Linked DNA regions of Arabidopsis thaliana. The protein of the gene in region 1 interacts with the protein of each later gene in a pairwise test. Each region holds a gene or a part of one and is shown in the gene's direction. Other genes may lie near its edges.

Region 1 (3,759 bases):
CAACGTCGTGAGCTTCGGGGCCAAACCAGACGGAGTCACCGATTCCACAGCAGCATTCCTAAAGGCATGGCAAGGGGCTTGTGGCTCGGCAGCATCAGCCACGGTGGTGGTCCCCACGGGGACATTTTTGTTGAAGGTAATAACGTTTGGAGGGCCATGCAAGAGCAAAATCACATTTCAAGTGACCGGAACCGTCGTTGCTCCGGAAGATTATAGGACCTTTGGCAATTCCGGTTCCTGGATTCTCTTCAACAAGGTTAACAGATTCTCACTGGTCGGTGGGACTTTTGACGCTCGAGGTAGTGGGTTCTGGTCTTGCCGGAAATCTGGCCAGAATTGTCCTCCCGGTGTTAGGGTACATATGCTTCTCCTCTATCTATAGTTATTGTAAATAAAAACAACAATCTGACATTCATACATAAGCGCCACCAGAATGCAAAAGAGCAACAAATAGCTTTAATCATTATTGATTAGTAATAACTAAATAAGTCAATATATTTTTTTTAATAGTCAAATAACATATCTTTATTCCAATCATTTACTTACGATTAAAAAAAAAAAGGAATTAGTTGATAGTTTTCAACTATATTAATTCAGGCACATTTAATTTTCAATATGATCTATCCATGCCATTTTTAGGAATTTATTTTATAAGCATATAATAACTATTATGATAATGATTTTTGGACAAGGAAATGGATTCTTTGGTCAAAATAAAATGAAATATTTATAATCTTATTATTAATCTATGGCGTTTATATATTAATTACTGTAGTCAATATCGTTCAACTCCGCAAAAGACGTGATCATAAGTGGAGTGAAATCGATGAACAGCCAGGTTAGCCATATGACCCTCAACGGTTGCACCAATGTGGCCGTCCGTAACATTAGGCTGGTGGCTCCCGGAGACAGCCCAAACACTGACGGCTTCACCGTTCAGTTCTCCACTGGAGTCACATTAACCGGAAGCACCGTTCAGACCGGAGACGATTGTGTTGCTATCGGTCAGGGGACCCGCAACTTCCTAATTTCCAAGCTTGCTTGTGGCCCAGGTCACGGGGTTAGGTATACACCACCGTCTAATTCCTTAGAGTAAATTATGTAAATATATCATTAATTGTTAGGAATCATGAATTTCCAACAAAAAAAAAACTAGCAATATTGCCTTCACTCACTCTGGTCACAACTCATATGATGATGTGATGACTGGCAGCATCGGGAGTTTGGCAAAGCAGTTAAACGAAGACGGAGTAGAGAACGTGACAGTATCGAGTTCGGTATTCACCGGATCACAAAACGGCGTGAGGATAAAGTCATGGGCGAGGCCGAGTACCGGATTCGTTAGAAACGTCTTCTTTCAAAATCTAATCATGAGGAACGTCCAAAACCCTATCATAATCGACCAAAACTATTGTCCGTCCAACCAAGGTTGCCCTACTGAGGTATATCCATATCATATTTTTGATCAATTTCAGACTAATCAAATATGCTATATCAAATTATCAACTTAGTCAAATAACTAAAGATTTATTATGTTTATGGTATGTATTAGCATTCGGGGGTGAAGATAACCCAAGTGACGTACAAGAACATACAAGGAACTTCGGCGACGCAGGAAGCAATGAAGCTGGTGTGTAGCAAGAGCAATCCATGCACGGGAATCACATTACAAGACATAAAGCTTACTTACAACAAAGGAACTCCTGCTACTTCCTTGTGCTTCAATGCTGTTGGGAAAAATCTTGGTGTTATTCAACCTACTAGTTGTCTAAATCGATGAATTTATTTGGGGTTAAGATGATATCACTGTGAAATGTTATTAGGAAACTGATTTTTCAAATAGTTTTCTGTAACAAGGTATATGATCACCAATTTCTGTAACATACAATTTTTTTTTTTTTATTAATAAAATATTATTTTCAGTAACCAACAAAGTGGAAGACTTTGACTTGTTGTCACCATCACATTGTGCTTTTGCTTTTTGGTCTTTGATTTGGACAACAAAAATATAAAGAAATTAGAGAAAAGAAGCTTTAACTGGATATAAAGTTTTAAACTGGAGATAATTGACATAGTAATTAAGAATTTGTTGCTTCAAAACTCAAAAGAAAAAGTAATCACTAATATTACTAAAGATTTTGGAAGTTTAGCGAAATTAATAAAGAAAACAGCTGAAGATGCAGTCACTCATCACAGTCTCTCTCTCTATCTCTATATCCTGAGAATCTTACATGATTTGCCCACAAAAAGCATTGAGATTTACAAATCAATCTATTGGGTTTCAGCTACACTCTACTGAAATCAGCTGCAACCTTTTTTTTTTTTCTCTCTCTTCTTTCATCACATCGGTTTGAATCTTTACAAGAAATCTGGAAATCACAGGGAAGTCAGGGTTTTCCATTTTCAAGCTGGTTCTGTTATTACGAAACACGGGTTGCTGGAAAAGAGCTCACGGATTCTTCAAACAAAGTTGGCATCTTTCAGATTTGGGAGAAAAAGTTGTTATTCAAGATCTTTGTGTAATCTAAGGGAGAAGCATACCATGAGTTCTCTGGTTCCTGTTATGGAGAAGCAAGAGAGCGTTCGAGGTAACTCTGTGGAGGAACAGCAGAGTCTCAGATGCGTTGGTGCAGAGAATCAGGTGAGAAAGGGAAGAGCTTTGGACAAGCAAGTTAGTTTCCTAGCTGTGAATGTTGTTGAGAAACATGGAATCAAAGGAAGAGCAATGGAGAAACAGGAGAGGGCAATGGAGAGGCAGAGAAGCTTTCGTGGGTTTGTTGAGAAGCAGAAAAGCTTTAGGGTAGTAATGGAGAGACAGTTAAGTTTCATGAATGTTGGTGGTGAGAGGAAGAAGAAGACTGACTCACCTGGTAAAAGAGGAGATTCTCCTCTTCATCTCGCAGCTCGAACGGGGAATTTGGGAAAGGTTATGGAATTGATTCGAGCTTGTAACGGCATTGAAGAGTTGAAGGAGTTGTCATCAAAGCAGAATCTAGAAGGAGAGACCCCTCTTTATAGTGCAGCAGAAAATGGGCATTCATTAGTTGTTGAAGAGATGTTGAAACATATGGATCTTGATACTGCATCAGTTAAAGCTCGCAACGGTTTTGATCCTTTCCATGTCGCTGCAAAACAAGGCCATATTGGTAAATGAAACTTTAGAGAATCTGATAATAACTTGAAGACCTTGTTATTGTTGTACACCTTCTTGACATATATCTTTGAATGTGTGCTGTCTTTTGCAGAGGCATTGAAGAAATTGTTGGAGACATTTCCGAATCTGGCTATGACGGTGGATCTATCGTGTACAACTGCATTGCACACGGCTGCTTCACAAGGACACACTGATGTGGTGAATCTTCTTTTAAAGACGGATTCTCATTTAGCTAAGATAGCTAAGAACAATGGTAAAACCGCACTTCATTCTGCAGCGCGAATGGGGCACAGAGAAGTGGTTAAGTCTTTGATAGGTAATGATGCAAGCATCGGGTTTAGAACTGATAAGAAGGGACAAACAGCGCTTCACATGGCTGTCAAAGGTCAGAACGAAGGGATTGTTCTTGAGTTGGTGAAACCTGATCCTGCGATTTTGAGTGTTGAGGATAGTAAAGGGAATACGCCGTTGCACACTGCCACAAACAAAGGCCGTATTAAGGTATCATCATCGCTAATTCCCCCTCCCCTCAGTTTCTCAATCTACAAGAATTCTGATGAACTGCATTTTGCCTTTGCTTGCAGATAGTGAGATGTTTGGTATCA
Region 2 (3,224 bases), on another chromosome or scaffold:
ATATTGAATCTTCAACCTAGGGTAGTTGCAGCGGGTGCTTGGCATGCCGCGGTGGTAGGTCAGGATGGAAGAGTGTGCACTTGGGGTTGGGGAAGATATGGATGTTTAGGTCACGGTAACGAGGAGTGTGAATCAGTCCCTAAGGTTGTTGAAGGTCTAAGCCATGTCAAAGCAGTTCATGTCGCAACAGGAGACTACACTACTTTTGTGGTCTCAGACGATGGTGATGTTTACTCGTTTGGCTGCGGCGAATCCGCTAGTCTCGGTCACCATCCATCCTTTGATGAACAGGTTAGTGATTGGCCATGGCCTCCATTGTTTCTTTTGCTTACATTATATGTTCTAAACTTATGTTTAGTCGTATGTCTGGTTTGATTTTTTGTTGCAGGGTAATCGACATGCAAACGTGCTAAGTCCAACGGTAGTAACATCGCTAAAACAAGTGAACGAGCGGATGGTCCAGATAAGTCTAACGAACTCCATATACTGGAACGCTCATACATTTGCGCTCACGGAATCGGGGAAGCTATTCGCGTTTGGTGCAGGCGATCAGGGTCAGCTTGGAACAGAGCTTGGTAAGAACCAAAAAGAAAGGTGTGTACCGGAAAAAGTGGATATCGATCTCAGCTAGCTAGCTGACTTATGTGGTTTGGTTGGTAAGAAACTACGTTTGACATCAAGGAAACAAAAACGCAAGAAAATTTGCGTTTGCTTTTTATGTTCATAAGACTTGGAAGCTTGTACAAAAAGGGGAATAACATAAACTTGTCTTTAACATTTCATTGTATAGGGTTTTTAGATTATTCTAATTGTTCATTGGTTAAGTTTTAGGTTATGTTGTTAATAATTATCAAATAATTTCATTAAATCAAATTATTGTCAGATTCAATTTCTACCAAATTTTTATTTTATTTTCTGTTTTCATATTTGTTGGGTTTACATCTATATATACATTTTTGCAGCCATTTTGTGATTTACATTTATATATACATCAATAAATCATGGAGTTGGAACTTATTTACAATGGTTACCACTGGCTTATTCAATGCGAAAATTAACTATCAAATAAAAGCAAATCTTATTCAAAAGAATATGCTCTTATTCCATGGCCTAGTTATTTTTGCCAAAATGGTTAAAATATTTAAAAATTAAATAATTATTTGAAAGAAAACTTTAAATTGATTTAAATTATAAATCTTTTAATAAAAATATTAATAAAAAAATAAAATAAAATAATTTCACCGAACATGATTAGATAGTAGGACTAGATGGTATGACATGTTTATAATATTATAATATATAAACTTTATAACAATTAAATAAATATTTGAAAGAAAACTTCTAAATTGATTTGAATTAAATATTTTTTAAATTAAAGTATTATTAAAACAAAAATAACAAAATAATGTCTAATTTTACTGAACAGGGTTAGTGGTAGGACGGGTTTGGTCGATAGTATTACGAGACGGTATACCACAAGTGAAATCCATTAGATATGTTTAATTTCATTGTGCATGATTAGATGGTATGACGGGTTTTGATCGATAATAATACGAAACGATATACTACGGATGAAATCCTAGATATGACAATTAAAATCTATATATATATTATCTTAAACACTAAATAAAGCAAACAATATTAATAAAACAAATATCTACATATACATTTTATATAACAAATTTTATTAAAAACCTAGCCCCGCGGTATACCGCGGGTCAAAATCTAGTTAGAGTACTAATATTCTATCGAAGAAAAATCTAAAATCCTATTTCTCAAATTGTTTTTGCTATATTTGATAAGATTAGAATTTAGAAAAAGCTTAATTAGGAGTAGAAGATAATATGTAATTTGCAATTTTTTCCTCAACCTTTAATATTTTTGGCAAAACCTCAAATTGCGTTGAGTCATCTTAGCACTTTGATCAAACAACTATATAAGCAAAGACCCTCATTACACAATTCAAGATAAATAAATAAAACAAAATACCCATAAAACATTTTTCAAAAAAAAAAAGTTTTTTGGGGATTACTAAATAACTAAATTAAAAAATAATGGCGCGTCTTCACCTAGCTCTCCTCCTCCTCTTCGTCGCTATCTCCGCCGTGATCGTATCAGCTGCTGAGAACGAAAAACCACCGTCAACCACCACCGCCTCAGCTCCCACCGCTACAACTCCAACCGATGGCATTGGAGGTGATATAGCAGAGGGTCCAGCTGATGACAATGCTATTGGAACAACTGACAACGACGATGCAGCTGTTACTCCCGATGATGCCAATGGAGATGATGAAGTGGCAGTCGCCGGACCTATTGGAAGCGATGCTTCGTACGCTAACTATCCTCCACCACAAAAAGAAGCTTCCGGAAGCGATGCCACCGTAGCTTTTGGCTTTGTCTCTGTTGTTGGTGCAGTTGCTGGATCGCTCTTCTTTTTCTAGAGTTGTGATCGGCGCGCGAACTTATTACTATTGTAATAAAAATGTTTGTAATATTTTCTTGTTTTAGATGTATTTTGACGATCCCTTCTTCGATGTAACATTGATTATATTGGGATGATACATATTTAATATACTAATATAAAGAAAGTTTTTTATTTGTGGGGTTAATATATTTCTGCATCTCATAAATTTACAAAAATAGCCCACAATATATGGGCCGTATTTTCTCACAGGGCCTAGCCCATCAACGTGTGAGTAAGCGCGTGTTTTTCACGTCTAAAAACCTCCATATCTTCTCCGCTAGCTCCGGAATAGAAGAAATTTTGCAGAGAGAAGCGTCAATGAAGGTCCAACGGTCAACTTTTTTGGCGGTGACCGGAAAATCAAATCTTCATCACTTTCACTCGTCTTCTCAGGTTCTCTTTTCTCTTCTCTGCGTCATCTAAATCAATTAAAAATCGTTCCTTTTGTCACTTCTAAGAATACCCATTTGCAATTGCAGAAAAAAATCTGAACTTTTTCTGATTTCATTGCGTTTTGGGGATAATGTCTTAATCAATTTCAGAGAATTCCCATTACTTCCGAGATCGATTCACGAGAGTTTGTGTCTAAATTACTCGATAGAAAATGGGGATTACAGTGTCCTGCATCTCCAATTCAGCAGATTAGTGTTTCTTCTGTCAAAGGAATCGATAAATTCTCCTTCTTGAACAACACTCGTCCACATCTCGGAGATGAAATGTCGAAGTCGAAGCAAGGATCTTCTTTTTACATTCTTAGAGA

Evidence for each region.
Region 2: the proteins of AT1G05640 (region 1) and AT3G26110 interact in a protein complementation assay, tested with the Arabidopsis thaliana proteins (one large-scale study listed by BioGRID).

What each region holds. Positions count from the first base shown.
Region 1 is NC_003070.9:1,688,285-1,692,043, reverse strand, and holds the start of AT1G05640 (Ankyrin repeat family protein), read left to right. Parts: upstream 1-2,088; 5' UTR 2,089-2,542; coding exon 2,543-3,146; intron 3,147-3,245; coding exon 3,246-3,655; intron 3,656-3,738; coding exon 3,739-3,759. Other genes in the region: AT1G05650 (Pectin lyase-like superfamily protein), read left to right, coding at 1-355, 776-1,065, 1,214-1,442, 1,553-1,780.
Region 2 is NC_003074.8:9,539,519-9,542,742, forward strand, and holds AT3G26110 (Anther-specific protein agp1-like protein), read left to right. Parts: upstream 1-1,964; 5' UTR 1,965-2,054; coding exon 2,055-2,441; 3' UTR 2,442-2,646; downstream 2,647-3,224. Other genes in the region: AT3G26100 (Regulator of chromosome condensation (RCC1) family protein), read left to right, coding at 1-291, 389-631; AT3G26115 (Pyridoxal-5'-phosphate-dependent enzyme family protein), read left to right, coding at 2,783-2,857, 3,007-3,224.